5 linked regions of the Macaca mulatta genome follow. The protein of the gene in region 5 interacts with the protein of the main gene of each other region in a pairwise test. Links are inferred from orthologs where the notes say so. Each region holds a gene or a part of one and is shown on either strand. Other genes may lie near its edges.

Region 1 (4,068 bases), on a different chromosome or scaffold from region 5:
GCTCACTGCTACATCTGCATCCTGGGCTCAAGCCATCCTTCCACCTCAGCCTCCCAAGTAGCTGGGACTACAGGTGCACACCACCACACCCAGCTAATTTTTGTATTTGTTTGTAGAGACAGGATTTCATCCTGTTGGCCAGGCTGGTCTCAAACTCCTGACCTCAAGTGATACGCCTACCTAGGCCTCCCAAAGTGCTGGTATTACAGGCGTGAGCCATTGTGCCCAGTCATGGACTCTTTTAATATACATCTTCATACACACACGCACACACACACACACACACACACACGAGTTGCAAACAGAAAAGACACACACATTGGCATGTATGCACAGACACACGCATAGATGTCCACACAGTTGCACACATGTGACAGGGCTGCCCCAGGGGTCCTGGGAAAGACAGAGTTCTACACTCTCATTAGAGGAGACAAACGAGTGAGCCCTGAAGTGGGACAGAGAAGGAGACTATGGGCATGAAAATGGCAATCCCCTGGTCCTTACAGCAAGGGTGGAGATCCAGACCCTAATCCTGGGGCGCTGCATCCACAGTGGGCATAGTGCTGGTGCCTGCTTGGGTGATCCTTAAAGAAAGGTCCCGGGGGCTTTGGTTCATGGATCCTTGAGCTAGGAGTTAAAGATCCAGGCCCCTGGGACCCTTGGGAAGCAGAGCAGGAAGACTGAACTCCTGGTTCTGAGGGAGAATGGGCTGGGGGCTTGGTCTCTGGTCCTGAGAGAGAAGGTGCCCGGACTTCTGGATCTGAAAGAGGAGGGGACTGGGTCTCAACTGCTGCCATCTTGACGGGACATTTTGGAGGCCTGTATTCCTGAGCCCTCAACAGAGGAATTTACTAGGGGACGGGGGTCTCTGATGCTTGCATCCTTGGAGAAGGACAAAACTGTGAGTGTCTGGGTCTAAAGAGGGTGAGAGTCCTGCGGGAGGACTCAAAATCCACAACGGGCTGAGCCCATAGCAGGACTCCTGGCTGGGCCCTTCATGGGGCGGGACGCCTGGAATCTCCAGGGGCGGGGGCCTGGCGCAGGCTCCCGCCCGGGGTTCCAGAGCTGCTCCACTCTGCGCGGAGCCGCCACGCTATTGTCCTGGCCAGGAAGGCGGGGCCGGCGCGGGGCGTGGCTGGCGGCGCCGGCGCAGCCCGGGGGCGGCGGGAGGAGGAGGTGGCGGCGGTGGCGCTGGGAGCTCCTGTCACCGCTGGGGCCGGGCCGGGCGGGAGTGCAGGGGACGTGAGGGCTCAAGGGCCGGGACATGGGGCCAGCCAGCCCCGCTGCTCGCGGTCTAAGTCGCCGCCCGGGCCAGCCGCCGCTGCCGCTGCTGCTGCCACTATTGCTGCTGCTTCTGCGCGCGCAGCCCGCCATCGGGAGCCTGGCCGGTGGGAGCCCCGGCGCGGCCGAGGTGAGGCCGGGCCGGGTCCTGGGGGATGGGGGAAGGGGCGGGACCGGGTCTTTGGACGCCAGCGCGGACATGTACAGGACAGAAAGCGCGGTCTTTCCAGCCAGGTGGTCAGCCCCCAGGCGCCCCCAACCGCATTTATGAACCCAGGGTTCCAGGCCCCAGCTCCCCCATCCTCCGACGTCCCAGCCCCCTCCCACCCCGAGCATAGGAACTGGTCTATTCAGAGCCCCTGGTCCCAGAAGTCCAGCCCCCTCTCCAGACCCAGGTGACTAGGTCCCAACCCCCTCCCTCCTGGACATAGGACCCACCAAGCAGCGAGGCACTTAGATCCAATAATCCAGACCCCTTGTATTCTCTGGACCCATATGGAGGCCCTTGCAGCCTCCCAGGACCCAGGAGTCCGGTCCTTCAGTCACCACCCACCCCAACCAGATGTAGCTCTCCAGTCCTCAAGGACCTGGTGTCCAGGACTGTAGGCCCCTGAAGCCAGGCCTTATCAGCTTTGCACCCTGCAACCGGAGCCTGAGCAAGGGATGGAGGGAGGAGGGGCCAGAACGCCTGGGTTCAGGCCTCCTCCGCGATTCAGGTTTAACCCCTTCGGGCTCCAGAGCGGCTGAGCTGGGGTCGGGGCGGAGTCTGTCTCCGCGGCAACAAGGCAGAAAGAATCCCGGGGGACCCGGGTCGCCATAGCAACGGGAGAGCTAGGGCGCCCCCGCCCTACGGGAGCTGTTTCCCAGGGAACGGTGCCTCCATGGAGGCGGTGTGCACAACGGTGCTTGGGGGAGGGGGCTGGTGCTGGGGGTCTCGGTCCTAGGGAGCAAAGAACCAGGGGACCCTCATGCCAACGCCCCCCGGGCCCTCATTATCCCCTCCACTTCCATCCAGGCCCAGGGGTCGGCCCAGGTGGCTGGACTATGCGGGCGCCTAACCCTTCACCGGGACCTGCGCACCGGCCGCTGGGAACCAGACCCACAGCGCTCTCGACGCTGTCTCCGGGACCCGCAGCGCGTGCTGGAGTACTGCAGACAGGTGGGCGGGGCCGAGCGGGAGGGGCGGGGCCAGCGGGAAAGCGGGCCCCAAACGAGGCGGGGCCGCCCGTAGAAAGCTACACTTGAAAAAGGCGTGGTCCAAGGTGCCGCGGGATCTAAGACGTGGAAGCTAGCGGACGTGGCCAATAAAGAGGCGCAACTATGCTAGGGCAGGGGACCTGTTTTGAGATACTAAGTCAGGAAAGGGGGAGAACCGCGAGATAGCCAGAGAAGAAGTGGAATTTAGGAATCTGGTGGTCTTTGTAAAAAGCAGAGGTGTAGTGGGGAGTGGCGAAAGGATAGGCGGGGCTAAGACAGAAAGAGACCTTAAGGACCAGCGAGATGGGGAAAGGGGTGGCGCCCAATGAAAGCGCGGAGAGCTGGGGGGCGTGGCCACGAAAAGACAAGTCTGTAATGGGAAGGGAGAGCTTTGGAGAGGCGAAATAGAGGAAAAGGCAGGGCTAAAAGGAGGGTGAGACCTTTGGGGAGACGAATCTGACTGCGGGGAGGGGTGACCAGAGAGGTGGGCTTAGAGGGACCTTCAGAAAGAAACAGCACAGGAAAAAAGATAGCCTTGAAAACGGACCTGGCCGGGCGCAGTGGCTCACGCCTGTCATCGCAGCACTTGGGGAGGCGGAGGCGGACGGATCACCTGAGGTCAGAAGTTCGAGACCAGCCTGGCCAACATGGCGAAACCCTGTCTTTACTAAAAATACAAAAATTAGCCGGGCATGGTGGTGCGTGCCTGTAATCCCAACTACTCGGGAGGCTGAGACAGGAGAATAGCTTGAACCTGGGAGGAGGAAGTTGCAGTGAGCCGAGATTGTACCATTGCACTCCAGCCTGGGCGACAAGAGCAAATCTCCGAAAGAGAGAAAGAGAGAAAGACAGAGAGAGAGAGAGAAAGGAGGGAGGGAGGGAAGAAAGGGGACCTGACTACTGGAGAGGGGTGGCTGGCAGAGGCGGGGCTGTGGGCTGATTGCCCCCATTTAACCCCCCCAGATGTACCCGGAGCTGCAGATCGCACGTGTAGAGCAGGCTACCCAGGCCATCCCCATGGAGCGCTGGTGCGGGGGTGCCCGGAGCGGCAGCTGCACCCACCCCCACCACCAGGTTGTGCCCTTCCGCTGCCTGCGTGAGTCCCAGGCGGGGAGAGGGGAACTGAGGTGGGAGTTTCCGAGGGGCAAAATTCTGAGCCCCTCTCTCGGGCCCACATTAAGGGGGTGGGTGCTTGTGTCCTAAGTGGGGCAGAGAAGCCTCTGAGGATAAAATATCTGGATTCTGAGGAGGGTGGGGTTGGTGCTGTAGGAGGGTCTCACCCTGGTGTCCCGTGCTTCCCCAGCTGGTGAATTTGTGAGCGAGGCCCTGCTGGTGCCTGAAGGCTGCCGGTTCTTGCACCAGGAGCGCATGGACCAATGCGAGAGTTCAACCCGGAGGCATCAGGAGGCACAGGAGGTCAGGACCTTGGCCCACCCGTCCCCAGCCCCCAGAACCCAGGAACCAGGACCCCAACACCCTCCTCCACCAGAACCGAGGGTCTGGGCCACCAGTATCCTCTTCCCACTTGGGATCTAAGAATTTCATCCCCCAACCCCTTCCTCCAGAACCAGGAATCCAGGCTCCCAGCCT
Region 2 (3,579 bases), on a different chromosome or scaffold from region 5:
CTATTTTTTAATGTGTTCTGTGTCTCTTCTCTGGAAGCTTTTAGGATTTTTTTTCCCCTCAGTGTTCTGACATTTTATGATAATGTCTCTAAATGAGAATCTACCTTTATCCTTCATTATTTTGGGACCTAATTGGCCCTTTCAATTCAGAAACACAGACCCTTCAATTATGGGACACTTTCTGAATTACTTCACTGATGCTTTTCTCCTCGCTGTTTTGTTAATTATGTATCTTGATCACTATGTTTATTAGTTCACGTGTTTATATATACCAATTTACCATGCTATACTCCACTCTTTTGTTGTCCTCCTCCTTAAAGATGAGTCACGCTCTGTCACCCCAGGCTAGAGTGTAGTGGCGTGATCATAGCTCATTGCAGCCTTGAACTACTGGGCTCAAGTGATTTTTCTGCCTCTGCCTCTCAAGTAGCTGGGACTACAGGCATGCACCCACCATGCCCGGCTAATTTTTTAAAAATTTAGGCCAGGCACAGTGGCTCACGCCTGTAATCCCAGCACTTTGAGAGGCTGGGGCGGGCGGATCATGAGGTCAGGAGATCGAGATCATCCTGGCTAACACAGTGAAACCTTGTCTCTACTAAAAATACAAAAAATTAGCCAGGCCTGGATTAGCGGGTGCCTGTAGTCCCAGCTACTTACTCGGGAGGCTGAAGCAGGAGAATGGCGTGAACCCGGGAGGTGGAGCTTGCAGTGAACTGAGATCACGCCACTGCACTCCAGCCTGGGTGACAGAGCAAGACTCCATCTCAAAAAAAAAAAAAAAAAAAAAAATTTATTTTTAAATTATTTATTTGAGACAGAGTCTTGCTGTGTTGCCCAGGATGGAGTGCAGTGGTACAATCTCAGCTTACTGTAACCTCTGCCTTCCAGGTCCAAGTGATTCTCCTGCCTCAGCCTCCCAAATAGCTGAGATTACAGGCGTGCGTGATCATGCCTGGCTAATTTTTGTATTTTTAGTACAGATGGGGTTTCACCAAGTTGACCAGGCTGGTCTTGAACTCCTGACCTCAGGTGATGCACCCACCTTGGCCTCCCAAAGTGTTGGGATTACAGGCGTGAGTCACTGTGCCTGGCCAACCATTTTTTTTTTGAGATGTAATTTCACTCTTCTTGCCCAGGCTGGAGTGCAATGGTGCGGTCTTGGCTCACTGCAACCTCCTCCTCCTGGGTTCAAGTGATTCTCCTGTGTCAGCCTCCCAAGTAGCTGGGATTATAGGTGCTCGCCACCATCCCCGGCTAGTTTTTGTATTTTTAGTAGAGATGGGGTTTCACCATATTGACCAGGCTGGTCATGAACTCCTGACATCAAGCAATCTGCCTGCCTCGGCCTCGCAAAGTGCTGGGATTACAGGCGTGAGCCACCATTCCTGGCCCCAACAATTTTTTTTTTAGACACAGGGTCTTACTATGTTGCCCAGTCTGGTCTCAAACTCCAGGCCTCAAGCAATCTTTCGGCCTTGCCCTCCTCAGTAGCTGTCCTCAAACTCATGCTGGTTCTACCTCCTCTGCTCAACCTTTAAATGTTGGCGGACCCAGGGCTTACTCCTGAGCCACCTTCTCTATTATCAACGTTGTGTCTAGGTGAACTCATCCAGGCTTTGAATATCATTCCTGTGCTGATGATTCCTAAATTTTTATATCCAACTCTTACACTTCTCTCCAGAAATCCCAGTGCCTTCTTGACGTTTCTACTTGGATTGCCTGACAGGCATTTCGGACTTAACATGGCCAAAACAAAAACTGAATTTCACTCAAACCTATTACTCCTTTGGTCTTCCATCTCAGTAAAAAGCACCAAAAACCACTTAGATGCTCAAGTCAAAAATTTAGGAATTGTCTTTGCTTCTACTTTTTCCCCCGACTCCACAATCTATCCAATTCTGTAGATCTATTAATGCATCCCAAATCTATCCTTCTTACCTCTACTGTCACCTCCATTCTATTGCAAGCCATAGCTACAACCATGTCTTTCTCTGCTATACTCCTATGATGATCTCCTAATTGGTCTTCCAAGATCTACTTTTGCCATCCTAAGACCTATGATCTACAAAGAAGCCAGAGTAATCTGAAAAAGGTAGGTCATATCACTTGGCTGCTTAAAATTCTCTAAGAGCACCATGAATTTGATTCTAACTTTTCTTTTTTCTTTCTTTCTTTTTTTTTTTAAGGCAGAGCCTCGCTCTTGTCACCCAGGCTGGAGTGCACGGGCACGATCTCGGCTCACTGCAACCTCTGCCTCCTGGGTTCAAGCGATTCTCCTGCCTCACTCTCCTGAGTAGCTGGGACTACAGGCGCCCGCCACCACACCTGGCTAATTTTTGTATTTTTAGTAGAGAGAGGCTTTCACCATGTTGGCCAGGCTGGTCTCAAACTCCTGACCTCAGGTGATCCACCTACCTCGGCAACCGAAAGTGCTGGGATTACAGGTGTGAGCCACTGTATCAGCCTGATTCTAACTTTTTTCATTCTGGTTTATAAATCCCTATGTAATCAAGTCCCTGCCTACTTCTCTCTGAACACGTCACTTACAAGAGTAAATCATAATCTGTTAAGACATTCATTTAGCTATGAAATTAAGATAATCTTTTTTTGCAACAGAAAATTGCTAGACACTATTCAATCATCCTATGTCTTCATTTCAAGGAAAGCCCAAGAAAAAAAGTGTTTGAGAAGTCAGGAAATAAGATCTAATTAATAAAATGCCTCTTAGGCCGGGCGCGGTGGCTCAAGCCTGTAATCCCAGCACTTTGGGAGGCCGAGACGGGCGGATGACAAGGTCAGGAGATCGAGACCATCCTGGCTAACATGGTGAAACCCCGTCTCTACTAAAAATACAAAAAAAAAAAAACTAGCTGGGCGAGGTGGCGGGTGCCTGTAGTCCCAGCTACTCGGGAGGCTGAGGCAGGAGAATGGCGTAAACCCGTGAGGCGGAGCTTGCAGTGAGCTGAGATCCGGCCACTGCACTCCAGCCTGGGCGACAGAGCGAGACTCCGTCTCAAAAAAAAAAAAAAAAAAAAAAAAAAAAATGCCTGTTCTGGTATTCTATTTTTGGTTCCAATTTTTAGATTTCTGATGATTTCTATAAGCAGAGAAAAACAAGAACATGCTCCTCAGTCTCTCTGAGGTATTGTGCTATTCCTTGACCACTTACCCTGTGGGTAGACACTCTTCTAGTCTCTTGTACTGGTAGCCAGAGTTAGGGTTGATTTGGCCTCCTGGGGTACAGGCTGTAGCCTGGATAGTTAGTTGATGGCAGGCACACTTGGACCTATATGACAGAGAGAAATAAAGGAAAGGAGCGGGGGGATCAGAGAACAAAATAACACAATACACATGTACCCAGGGTTGCTCAGTGTGGCCATGTCAGACTCCAGTCTCCCTACCTCATAGCTTTCATGGAGGCCTTATAGCACGAGTTCCAGGTGAGGGAGGAGGTAAAGGAAGATGGGGAAAGCAGTACAGATACAAGGGAAAGGAAGAGGTGAAAAGGAAGACAACCATAACAAAGTTGGAAGCAGGGGCAGCAATTCTCCCCACCAACTCACTTGTCCCGACACC
Region 3 (3,579 bases), on a different chromosome or scaffold from region 5:
AAAAAAAAAAAAATAGTTTTTCCTTTCTTTTAATTGCAAAAGTGGTTCCAAACTAGAAATTAAAATCCTCCTCCTCTCCAGGCTGACCCCCAGAAGCCTGCTTTGTTATTAGTTTGGAGGACATCCTTGCAGACGTTTTCCTCTGCATTCGCATGCATGCAAATGTACTTCTGAATGCGCACATGTGTCTTTATAAGCAGGTAGCTTTTAACAAATAGCAGGTGGGGCCGGCACAGTGGCTCACACCTGTAATTCCAGCACTTTGGGAGGCTGAGCGGGGGGGATCACTTGAGGCCAGAAGTTGGAGACCAGCCTGGCCAACGTGGTGAATCACCATCTCTACTAAACATACAAAAATTAGATGGGCGTGGTGGCGGGCATCTGTAGTCCCAGCTACTCAGGTGGCTGAGGCAGGAGAATCGCTTGAACCCAGGAGGTGGTGGTTGCAGTGAGCTGAGATCATGCCACTGCACTCCAGCCTGGGTGATAGAGCAAGACTCTGTCTCAGTAAAAAAAAAAATAGGTGGAGCTGGGTGCAGTGGCTCATGCCTGTAATCCCAGCACTTTTGGAGGCTGAGGCAGGTGGATCACCTGAGGTCAGGGTTTCAAGACCAGCCTGGCCAGCATGATGAAACCCCGTCTCTACTAAAAATACAAAAAATTATCTGAGTATGGTGGTGCTCACTTATAATCCCAGCTACTCAGGAGGCTGAGGCTGGAGAATTGCTTGAACCCGGCAGGTGGAGGTTGCAGTGAGCTGAGATCATGCCATTGTACTCCAGCCTGGGTGATAGAGTAAGACTCCATCTCAAACAAAAAAGTTTCCTAGAGGTAAAATTGCAGGTTCAGAGGATGTGCATTTAATGACTATGAACATTTCCATTATTTATTTAACCATTTCCCTATCTGTGGACATTTAATGTTTTCAGGGTGTTGTGTTTGCTTTATTTTATTTTGCTATTATAAGGAGGGCTGTAGCAGTCTTATATCCTTTTTAGTGATAATGTGTGTGCCTGAATACTGGGATTTCATCATTATGAAGTAACTTGGTTAACTTTAGCAACTTTTACTTCTAGGATTACCATGTTGTTTTGCTTCATGTTTCAAGTGGAGGACAGAGCTTCATTTATGATCTCGATACTGTCTTGCCATTTCCCTGCCCCTTTGACACTTATGTAGAAGATGCCTTTAAGTCTGATGATGACATTCACCCACAGTTTAGGAGGTGAGGACATTCAGCATGGATTTACTTATTTTCTGAAGTAAGACTTTGACGATTCCCCAGAGGTTCTTTTTTTTGACAGTTGTTTTGTAAAGATCTCGTCTGGCATCACCATTGAGTTGATGTTTAAGAATGATGTATTTGCAACACAGGAGATTGAAAATGTTTTAAAACTTTAAAAGTTATCTATCATATAAAAGGTTGGCATTCTTTTAAAATTTTGTGTGTTGAGATCCCACACATTTAATTTCAAGCAGGTTGGGGATTTTTCTTATACTCTTTTTGTTTGGGGGTTTGTGGGGATACCTGGTGTCACCATTGAGAGGGCTGTGAAGGCAGCATCAGAAAATCATGCCCGTTGCCCTTGATACACAAATTGAGTACATCAAGGCAACCAGACATGTTTTTGTGCCTTTGTCTTTCTGTTTCGGGTTTTAGTTGATCATTTCCTATGCTTCTCTAATAGATAGTAAAGTTGCCTGTGTTACTAACCATACAGAAATGCATGAGTAGTTTTGTACATGTCATAGGAAATGAGTCCATATAAAAATTTGGTTGGAATTTCAAACATGACACCTCCCTAATGTGAGTGTATATTGATTTGTCTGCAGGAAATTTAGAGTGATCCGTGCAGATTCATATTTGAAGAACTTTGCTTCTGACCGATCTCACATGAAAGACTCGAGTGGGAATTGGAGAGAGCCTCCGCCGCCGTATCCCTGCATTGAGACTGGAGGTGAGCCAGGATGCCTTCTCAAAGGGATTCTGATTGATCATGTACACATCAGCATTTTTCTTTAACAGAGGACAAAAGTCAGGTCATTCTTTGAATAAAACTCCATGCATGAATCTCAGCACCTTGGGAGGCCGAGGCAGGCGGATACGAGGTCAGGAGATCGAGACCATCCTGGCTAACATGGTGAAACCCTGTCTTTACTGAAAATACAAAAATTAGCCGGGCGAGGTGGTGGGCGCCTGTAGTCCCAGCTACTCGGGAGGCTGAGGCAGGAGAATAGTGTGAACCCGGGAGGCGGAGCTTGCAGTAAGCTGAGATTGGGCCACTGCACTCCAGCCTGGGCGACAGAGTGAGTCTCCGTCTCAAAAAAAAAAAAAAAAGAAAAGAAAAAAAATTCCATAAATAAGGAGGTCATAGGAAATACTACTTCTGTGTGCGTGTTAGATTCAGAAATCAAGGCACAGGGAATAGGACTGGAAGGCATGAGAACTTGTGGGAGACAAAGTGTGTTAAGGATCAGAAGCATAGCACCTGCAAACTGCTGGATTATTGGATGTAGCTACTGCGGGGACACTGAACATCAGGAGACTCGCATGCTTGTGTCATGTAACAGCGGGACTAGTAGCGCCTTGCCATGGTAGGGTTTTGTGCTATGGTGAAAGAAATCCCCATTGCATCCTTATGATGTGTGAAATGTCACTTTGGCTATATAATAAAATCTGCATTAGAGGGAGGTGAGCGCTAGCAGGTTTGATTGTACCATTTGTCTCATTTATGTGCTTTTAGGTATCAGTCCAGTTGATAATTTCCTGACATTTAAGAAGATAAAGGTTCCTTCACCCTATTACTATTGTTTGGCATTCATATGAGTTTGAAGCATTATTTATGTTTGTAAGTAATTCTCAACAGTCCCACTTAGGGGTGAGATCATCCCAACACCTAGAAAATACAGTCTGTGTAAAAGTGCTCTGTGAGCTCTGCAGCATGTCAGAAAAGTAGGGCAGTAGTGTTAGTACTTCAACAAGGGTCTGAGCGTGGTGGCTCATGCCTGTAATCCCAGCACTTTGGGAGGCTGAGGTGGGTGGATCACCTGAGGTCAGGAGTTCGAGACCAGCCTGACCAATGTGGTGAAACCCCGTCTCCACTAAAAATACAAAAATTAGCTGGGCGTGGTGGTTTGTGCCTGTAGTCCCAGCTCCTTGGGAGACTGAGACAGGAGAATCACTTGAACCAGGAGGCGGAGGTTGCAGTGAACCAAGATTGTACCGCTGCACTCCAGCCTGAGTGACAAGAGTGAGATTCCGTCTAAAAAAAAGAAAAGAAAAAGAAAAAAATACTTTAACAAGGAAGAAACTAAAAAATACATTTGGCATATTTGAGGGAACTAAGAGAGGGTTCAAACTCTGATGTTTGAGGCTCCCTATGAAAAGCTCTCATAATTAAAAAAATTTATATTGGAATTGCTTATTGGTGTACAGAGCTGCTTCCTGGCCTCAGTGTGAGAACTGGGGAAGCTCCTGGTAAGGAGAGGGCTTGAGGGGTCTACCTTAGCATCTCTGGCAACCTGCTCTACAGGGCCTGTCTGGGCACAGTGTGCCTTTAGCAGCTACCTGTTTCCCCT
Region 4 (4,248 bases), on a different chromosome or scaffold from region 5:
GACAAAAAAAAAAAAAAAAAGAACACATGGAATTGTGTGTTCATTGTGGTGCCATTCACGATAGCAAGGACATGAAATCAACTTAAGTGCCCATCAACAGTGGACTGGATAAAGAAAATGTGGCACATATACACCATGGAATATTATGCAGCAATACAAATAGGGAAATTATAATCTTTATAGCAACATGGATGGAGTTGGGGGCCATTATCCTATGCAACCTAATACCAAGAACAGAAAACCAAACACACATGTTCTCACTTAGGAGCTAAACATTGACTATATGATGGTAAACATGGAAACAAGAGACACTGAATATCATTAGATGAGGAAAGGGGGAGAGGCACAGAGGGGTGTGAGCTGAAGAAGCACCTGTTGAGTACTATGCTTACATCCTGTTGGGATCGTTGGGACCCCAAACCTCGACATACTCTAGGGTTTTGCTTTTTGTTTTTTGAAACTGGTGAGATTAAACTTTTTTCCCTTTTTTTTTTTTTTTTAGATGGAATCTCGCTCTGTCGGCCAGGCTGGAGTGCAATGGTGTGATCTCGACTCACTGCAACCTCCGCCTCCAGAGTTCAAGCGATTCTCCTGCCTCAGCCTCCCGAGTAGCTGGGATTACAGGTATGTGCCACCACGCCTGGCTAATTCTGTATTTTTAATATAGACAGGGTCTCTTCATGTTGGTCAGGTTGGTCTCGAACTCCCGACCTCAGGTGATCTGCCCGCCTCGGCCTCTCAAAAGTGCTGGGATTACAGGTGTGAGCCACCACTCCTGGCCATCCTAATGTTTTAAATAGCGATTTATATTTCCTCTTCATGAATTGTCTGTTAAAGCACTTGTGGGCGGAAATTAAGTTTTGTTCTTCTTTCAGTGTGCTTCGGGCCTTAGAAATGGTGTTTGTTACGTAGCTCTCACAAAGCTTTGAATACATATAGATAGAAACCTAGCCGTAATTGTTTAGAATCTTGCGAGAATAAGCCACTGCAACCGCACAACTGTGTGCCATTTTAGGATTTACCGAGAATATTCATGAGTATTGGTGCATTTTAATACAACTACTGTGCATTGATGCTTTCAGCATTTTACTATGCGCAGCAAAGTCTTGAGTGAGGTCTGGGAAGGATAAATGGTGAAAAATTAAGGAATTTCTCGCAGAAACGGAGGAATTCATCTTCCCTAAAGAAAGAATATACCGACTAAAATTAGTTGGTCCTCCCGTGCACCAGACGGCGAAGCAGCAGGATGTGACGCTGCACGGTCAGTGAACGACTTGCTGGACTACACTTCCCAGAAGGTTTCTTTGGCCTCCGCACTACGCAATCACCCAGAATGCTCAGCGGCCGAGAACTTCAGGTCCCAGACTGCTGTGCGGCTAAATACGACTCCATCTCCCCCGACCCAAGCGCTTAATGGCCGCTGGCAATCTTGGGGGAGCCAGCTGTTGGACTATGCGCCGCTGCCAGGAAACAGGCGCCAGAAGGTTCTCCGACAAGATCCCGCCTTCCTAAGACGGTAAAGGCGTTCACAGGTCGGGAAGGGGCGGTGGGAGTAGTGGGACAGCGCTGAGCATTGCTCGTGAACTGTGGGTCGGCCTGCGAAGAGGCCCAGTTTCGTGGCACCACTGTGGCGCCCGCGCTGGAAGGTGGTCTTGTGACAGAGCGAAAACTACAATTCCCAGCATTCCTGCGGTGCCAGAACTACCTTGCCCGAAAGCCTGTGCGAGATTTACCCCGTCTTCCGCCTCCCGTCCGCCGGAAAACTCTGAGGCCATGAATAGTCGCCAGGCTTGGCGGCTCTTGCTCTCCCAAGGCAGAGGGGATCGTTGGGTTTCAAGCCCCCGCGGGCATTTCTCGCCGGCCCTGCGGAGAGGTGAGGCAAGGCGTCGTGTCATAGATGTCTGAGTGCTCTCTAGGGAGACGATGCCCGTGGGTCGCGCCTGCTCGAGCGAACGGGAAGAGAAGGTGCCACGCCCTCCTCCCCGATTCACGCCTTGTGCTGGCGACACAGCTGCCTGCTGCCCCGACTTGCCCAGCTCGCCCCAAGGGGCGAGGACTGAGGAAATCAGTGCCTTTCTGTTCTTAAAGCGAACCTTCGAAGGCCAGGGCTTCGCGCCCGGCTTCTTTCTCAGCCCTTGTTTCCCTTTTTTGGTGACAAGAGGCTAGTAATCTGGTAGGTTTGTCTGGAGGCAGCGTAAGGTAATCTGTGCTTGAGGGTGTCCTGATTTCTTTTGTGGCCTGATCTTTAGATTTTGTTTTTTTAGGTGCTGGCCTCGAGCCCAAGTTTTTGGTAGACAGCATCATAAATTTCAGATCACGTCTGCCTTATTCTCGCTGGAATTCTCAGTACTTTTCAGTCACATTGTAGACTTTGGGGAAAAAAGTGAATACTGGAACCTACAAGTTTCCAACCGGTTGGCACCCCTGTTAACAGGGTGTCCTGAAGACATCTAACTTTATTCCGAGAAACGTTTCTAGGGCTAGGTTTTTCTTGTTGTCGTTTTTTACCCCCCGTTTTTAAACTTCCCTCCTAGTTTTTAAACCGTTTTAAGATTGTCCACAAAATAGGCGAATAGGCACCTCTTATCAACCTTAGCATTCTCTGTTCACCTTCTTGAATCTTCAGTGCCAGGTACCCTGAGCCAGTCGGTACCCAAACACTTCCACGCTGTTATTTATGCTCCATATTGTTACTTGTGCTGTTTTGCTCATTGTTTAATTTTAATCCACACCAGTAACAGCTGCAGTCAAAACTGCAGTTGTTGATCATCCGTCTGTAAGATTGCTCTTTAGCTGCCAGGATCATTCACAAGGTCTCTTTTGTTAGGTATTTGGGTGTTTAGCATAAATACACATTATGATGGATTTTACAAAAAGGAGGTAGCACTTTTGAATTCCAGGAAATCATCCAACTTTCATCTTTGTTGACTTTTACAGGTGTGCTTCACATATCCAAATGAAAACAAAATTAAATGTTTTTAGAGAATGAACTTTGAAGTGCATATCATAATGCGAAATACATGACCATAAGTAAATGTTAATGTTTTAACGTAAAAGTTTTCCCACTTGAATCTGAGTGTGCTTGGAGAAACTTTAAATCTCTTCTTACAACTAGTAGGATTTGTGTCCTTCCTCACTAAACAAATATTGAATGTTTATTGTGTACAAGTAGTTTAAACTTGCCTAATAATGTTAATAATCAGGGGATTTGAAAACCTTGACCTCTGACCAGTGGAAGGACCTTAGTTATCATGATGCAACTAGTGTAGCACGTTAGTAGACCAGCAGGTAAGAACATATGCTGTAATGCCTGTTCTATTGAGTTCCTGACAGAAAAGTAACTGACTATACACTGAAGTGTTTCAGCTGTAAAATTAGCAGTAAATTCATATAAAACTTGCAACTTAAATTTATTGGGACAACATTTTACATATTTGTTTGTTTGTTTGTTTGTTTCAAAAGTAAAATTTGACCTTTTCCAGCAAAGAGGAGCTTGGTGCAAGATAGGCCAGAGTTCCAGTCCGCAATCTATGACTTAGTAGTTTTGCCAAACTGGTTAAACCTTTAAACCCTTGAGTTTGTATCTCACTATTACAAACAAACAAATCCGCAAGATATAGCTATCAAAGAATCAAAAGTAGTAACAATGAAAGGAAAGGTTTGGAGTTTTGTACAGATGTTTAAGCCTGTACAAAACTTTTCAGGCTATTAAGGATCTGTTGTTCCACTATGAGCTAGAAACACTGATTCTGGGCACTTCATTTCCCCTACCTATTAATATGGCTGCGAAGACTTATTTATTTATTTATTTATTTATTTATTTATTTTGAGACAGGGTCTCTGTCACTCAGTCTCGTGTGCCTTGGTGCCATCTCGGCTCACTGCAACCTCTGCCTCCCAGGCTCAGGTGATCCTCCCACTTCAGCCTCTCAAGTAGCTGGGACTACAGGCACATGCCACCATGCCCAGCTAGTTTTTGTAATTTTTGTAGGGACAGGATCTTGCCATGTTGCCCAGGCTGATCGCGAACTCCTGGGCTCAAGCGATCCGCCTGCCTTGGCCTCCCAACTGCTAGGATTACAGGCATGAGCCACTGCACCTGGCCTGTAAAGACATTCTTAATGAGCGCTTATGCATTGAACTGCTCATGACCAGTTGGAATAGTGATTATGAAACCCTACTATGAATATCCAATGGTTTTTCCAGTTGCTTATGGCTTCCAAAGTGGAGTGAAACCCAAAGTTCTAC
Region 5 (4,350 bases):
GCTTCCCCTTGGAGCAAGGGGAAGAGTTCAGCGAAAACTAAAGGTAAAAAGTTGAATTGACAACTAGAGGTGTATCAAAACTGCAAATGACAATCGTTTTTGCTTTAACAATCTTCTGAAATAGGAATGTAAATCCGTGAGATTTCCTGAATCAGAGGTCTAACCATAAGCGCCGATTCCCCTAACCTAAATTTAACAAAATGAAAATTCCTCCCTACAGCTTTTGGGCTTGCTTTATCATTTTTAAATTCCTGGGAGAGACGGACATTCTCGATTATTGGTAAGAAATGCTTAGAACTAGGTTTTGACATGAAATGCCAATAAAGTAACTGCCAGTAAATTGCCCCCAATCAAACCTAACATTGCTTCTGTAGAACTATAGTCGGACCCATGAAATGTAATATGTGTGGGTGTGTGTTTTAAAACTGGAATTTCTGATGGCTTTTTCTTTTCTAGCCCTAAAAGGCATGCTTATCATTTGTGTTGCTCACATGTCCGGGCCACCTTGCCTCTTGAGTCAAACCAATGGGGATATAGCCAGGACAATGAACGAAAAAGGCGTCGCTGCTTGGAGACACCTGTTGAGATCAGTCGTTTACAGGGCCGGCCTGCCTGTGTCCTCCAGTTAAGGATGCATTGCAACCACTCCTCGTTAGAGAAGAGCCTACCCCAGAGGAGCTAAGGCAGTTAACTGGAAACAGCTGCAACATCTGTCCGGTTGCCTCGCCCCTGCCCGTGGAAGGGCGAGGAGACCGCATGGCAGCAACTGCACTGCACAAAAGACAACACCTATCACTGGGAGCCACCGGCCTTCCGTAGACCCCGCAGCTCCCGGCGCTGGGGCATCCCCCGAGGAGGCGAGGGCCGGGGGCGAGCCCAGGTGCGGCGAGGGGGAGGAGGTTTCCGCCACGCGCCGGGGAAGAAAGCCTGACTCATGTCGTGGCAGCGGCGGCGGCGGCGGCGGGCTCCTGGGAACTGAAACTCGTGATGCTGTTGCTGCGGAGAAAAGCCTCATTACCCATTCCGCAGGCGGGGGACACCACCCAGGGCGCGCACACCAAGCGCCGGCGCTCCCGCCGCCTCCGCCGGCCCTTCCGCGCCGCGCCCCCTCCTCTGCCGCGTGCCCGCGCGCGCCGGCCGCGAGTGTGAAAAGAGCGGACACACCTAGCCTGCGCGCGCGGCAGGCGCGCACCCTGCCCACCCCCACCGGGCCGAAGCAGGCAGTCCGACCCGGATTCGCTCCTTTGGCCGAAATTCCCCACCCCCACTATCCCCTCCGGCTCCACCACTCCCGGCTTCGGCGCCTCCGCCAGCCTTCGGCAATTTCCGTCGGGAGACCCGGCGCTCGCACAGGCCCGAAGATCCGCCGCCTCCTGCCCCGCCAGACCCGGCTTTATGTCTGCGGCGCCGAGGCGCATGCGCAGACGCCATCTTCCCTCCTCCTCCTCCGCCTGCCCCCTCCCCCTCCACCACCGCCTCCTCTCGCCGGCGGTCGCCCCTCCTCCTCCTGCGCTCCGCGCTGGTCCCTCCCCTCCCGATGCCGCGAGAGACTGGGGGATACGGTAGAGCCGGGGGAGCCGAAGAAGAGCACTAGTAACAACCACCATAGCCCCCTCCCCGCCCGACACCCTCCCTCGGCACCCACCCACTCCCCCGCCCCGTTTGCCGACACCGACCAACCCCACCTCTCGTTCCTTTGAACGGCGTCGGCTGCAGTCGCTGCACCAGCCCGTCTGGCCACCAACGCCGCCGAGAAAGGAGCCGCCGCCGCCTGTGGCCCCCTCCCGCTCGGTCGCGGGAGCAGCGGGGTGAGGAAGAGCCGGCTGCGGAGGAAGAGGACAAGAGAGGGTCGCACCCTCCGCCCTAGCGCACGTCCCGCCGCCCTCCGGGGAGGCTCGGGCGCCGGCCCCTTCCTCCCCGAGGACGTGTGCCGAGCCGAGGCGCCTGCCCTGAGGGAGGAAAATGCTCGGGCTCCATGGCTGCCAGTGATGGAGCGGTCCCTGGGCTCCCGCTGCCACCGCCGCCGCCGCGCCCCGGCCGTGCTCCGCGAGGACCCGGCGTCTCTGCGCGCCCGCCCGCGCCTCGTTGCTGGGCTCACCGTACCGGGCGCCCCGCCGCCGCCCCGCTCGCAGCCGCGTCGCCCCGGCCCCAGCCGCGGCCAGCGTTTCCTCACCGAGCAGCCGCCGCGAGCCCAGGGGGTTTGAAAGGGTCTGCGGGGCGCGGGGGGAGGGCCGAGCGGGGCCGGGAGGGGAGGTTTGAGCGACACTGAGCTCGGGGCTCGCCTGCGGCGGCGGCCCCGGGGGTGGCGAGGGGAAGGCGACACTTGCTCGGCGCTGCCTCCGTGCAGAGCGGCCGGGAGGGCTTTGCAGCGGCCGCCGCCGCGGCGGGAGGAGGGGGCTGAGGCGGCTTCGGAGTTGGCCGGAGAAGGTGGGCATTTCTCGCTTTTCCTCCCCCTCCTGCGCTCTCCCCCTCCCTCCTGCCCCGCACCCCACGTGAAACGGAATATAAAGGGGGGTGTGAGGCTACAGGGGAAAGTGAATGGCGAAGGACTGAAGGGGTCCCCCCTTCGGGTCCCCGGCCGCCCTGTTCACCCTCGTTCATCCTCCTTTCCGAAGCTCGCTCTCGAAGGCAGGAGCGACCGGCGCCTTCGGCTGAGGAGGAGGAGAAGGAGGAATCGCGCCAGGCGGAGCGTCAGGTCCCGTTTTCCTCTCCGGCGTCTCGAATACAAAGATTACGGTGCAGAAGGAAATTGCACTCGCCTCCTAGGCCCCCCCCCGGTACCCAACACAATGCACCAGCCGCCTGAGTCCACCGCCGCGGCCGCCGCCGCCGCTGCAGACATTAGCGCTAGGAAGATGGCGCACCCGGCAGTGTTCCCTCGAAGGGGCAGCGGTAGTGGCAGCGCCTCTGCTCTCAATGCAGCAGGTACCGGCGTCGGTAGTAGTGCCACATCTTCCGAGGATTTTCCGCCTCCGTCGCTGCTTCAGCCGCCGCCCCCTGCAGCATCTACGTCGGGACCACAGCCTCCGCCTCCACAAAGCCTGAACCTCCTTTCGCAGGCTCAGCTGCAGGCACAGCCTCTTGCGCCAGGCGGAACTCAAATGAAAAAGAAAAGTGGCTTCCAGATAACTAGCGTTACTCCTGCTCAGATCTCCGCTAGTATCAGCTCTAACAACAGTATAGCAGAGGACACTGAGAGCTATGATGATTTGGATGAATCTCACACAGAAGATCTCTCTTCTTCGGAGATCCTTGATGTGTCACTTTCCAGGGCTACTGACTTAGGGGAGCCCGAACGCAGCTCCTCAGAAGAGACCCTAAATAACTTCCAGGAAGCCGAGACACCTGGGGCAGTCTCTCCCAACCAGCCCCACCTTCCTCAGCCTCATTTGCCTCACCTTCCACAACAGAATGTTGTGATCAATGGGAATGCTCATCCACACCACCTCCATCACCACCATCACATTCATCATGGGCACCACCTCCAACATGGGCACCACCATCCATCTCATGTTGCTGTGGCCAGTGCATCCATTCCTGGTGGGCCACCCTCAAGCCCAGTATCTAGAAAACTCTCTACAACTGGAAGCTCTGACAGTATCACACCAGTTGCACCAACTTCTGCTGTATCATCCAGTGGTTCACCTGCATCTGTAATGACTAATATACGTGCTCCAAGTACTACAGGTGGAATAGGTGTAAGTTCTGTTACTGGCACTAGTACAGTAAATAATATTACTGCTGTGGGTAGTTTGAATCCTAATATGACAAGCAGCATGCTTGGTAATGCTAATATAAGTACAAGCAATATTCCTAGTGCTGCTAGTGTGAGTGTTGGGCCTGGAGTTACCAGTGGTGTTAATGTGAATATCTTGAGTGGCATGGGCAATGGTACTATTTCTTCCTCCGCTGCCGTTAGCAGTGTCCCTATTGCAGCTGCAGGGATGACTGGGGGATCGGTTTCAAGTCAGCAGCAACAACCAACAGTTAACACTTCGAGGTTCAGAGTTGTGAAGTTAGATTCTAGTTCTGAGCCCTTTAAAAAAGGTAGATGGACTTGCACTGAGTTCTATGAAAAAGAAAATGCTGTACCTGCTACAGAAGGTGTGCTGATAAATAAAGTGGTGGAGACTGTAAAGCAAAATCCGATAGAAGTGACTTCTGAAAGGGAGAGCACTAGTGGGAGTTCAGTGAGCAGTAGTGTCAGCACACTGAGTCACTATACAGAGAGTGTGGGAAGTGGAGAGATGGGAGCTCCTACTGTGGTGGTGCAGCAGCAGCAACAACAGCAACAACCAGCTCTCCAAGGTGTGACCCTCCAGCAGATGGATTTTGGTAGCACTGGTCCAC

The links.
Region 1: the proteins of TSC22D1 (region 5) and APLP1 interact in a two-hybrid assay, tested with the Homo sapiens proteins (2 studies listed by BioGRID and IntAct). The link is inferred for Macaca mulatta from reciprocal best matches to the Homo sapiens genes TSC22D1 and APLP1.
Region 2: the proteins of TSC22D1 (region 5) and SETDB1 interact in a two-hybrid assay, tested with the Homo sapiens proteins (2 studies listed by BioGRID and IntAct). The link is inferred for Macaca mulatta from reciprocal best matches to the Homo sapiens genes TSC22D1 and SETDB1.
Region 3: the proteins of TSC22D1 (region 5) and NTAQ1 interact in binary tests that used the Homo sapiens proteins (3 or more experiments, as listed by UniProt). The two-hybrid records come from large-scale screens. The link is inferred for Macaca mulatta from reciprocal best matches to the Homo sapiens genes TSC22D1 and NTAQ1.
Region 4: the proteins of TSC22D1 (region 5) and CCDC90B interact in a two-hybrid assay, tested with the Homo sapiens proteins (2 studies listed by BioGRID and IntAct). The link is inferred for Macaca mulatta from reciprocal best matches to the Homo sapiens genes TSC22D1 and CCDC90B.

The regions. Positions count from the first base shown.
Region 1 is NC_133424.1:47,115,025-47,119,092, forward strand, and holds the start of APLP1 (amyloid beta precursor like protein 1), read left to right. Parts: upstream 1-1,201; 5' UTR 1,202-1,264; coding exon 1,265-1,411; coding exon of another isoform or gene 1,412-1,458; intron 1,459-2,240; coding exon of another isoform or gene 2,241-2,296; coding exon 2,297-2,440; exon of another isoform or gene 2,441-2,484; intron 2,485-3,330; exon of another isoform or gene 3,331-3,441; coding exon 3,442-3,574; intron 3,575-3,781; coding exon 3,782-3,894; intron 3,895-4,068. UniProt on the Homo sapiens protein: May play a role in postsynaptic function. The C-terminal gamma-secretase processed fragment, ALID1, activates transcription activation through APBB1 (Fe65) binding. Couples to JIP signal transduction through C-terminal binding.
Region 2 is NC_133406.1:116,154,902-116,158,480, forward strand, and holds part of SETDB1 (histone-lysine N-methyltransferase SETDB1), read right to left. Parts: coding exon 3,567-3,579; intron 3,290-3,566; coding exon 3,173-3,289; intron 1-3,172. UniProt on the Homo sapiens protein: Histone methyltransferase that specifically trimethylates 'Lys-9' of histone H3. H3 'Lys-9' trimethylation represents a specific tag for epigenetic transcriptional repression by recruiting HP1 (CBX1, CBX3 and/or CBX5) proteins to methylated histones.
Region 3 is NC_133413.1:133,855,523-133,859,101, forward strand, and holds part of NTAQ1 (protein N-terminal glutamine amidohydrolase), read left to right. Parts: intron 1-1,076; coding exon 1,077-1,225; intron 1,226-1,833; coding exon 1,834-1,958; intron 1,959-2,744; coding exon of another isoform or gene 2,745-2,827; exon of another isoform or gene 2,828-2,849; intron 2,850-3,579. UniProt on the Homo sapiens protein: Mediates the side-chain deamidation of N-terminal glutamine residues to glutamate, an important step in N-end rule pathway of protein degradation.
Region 4 is NC_133419.1:83,821,758-83,826,005, reverse strand, and holds the start of CCDC90B (coiled-coil domain-containing protein 90B, mitochondrial), read left to right. Parts: upstream 1-1,407; 5' UTR 1,408-1,773; coding exon 1,774-1,873; intron 1,874-4,248.
Region 5 is NC_133422.1:23,894,620-23,898,969, reverse strand, and holds the start of TSC22D1 (TSC22 domain family protein 1), read left to right. Parts: upstream 1-1,524; 5' UTR 1,525-1,685; coding exon of another isoform or gene 1,686-2,435; 5' UTR 2,436-2,789; coding exon 2,790-4,350. Other genes in the region: uncharacterized protein LOC106994248, read right to left, coding at 793-996, 1,686-2,435. UniProt on the Homo sapiens protein: Transcriptional repressor. Acts on the C-type natriuretic peptide (CNP) promoter. Acts to promote CASP3-mediated apoptosis.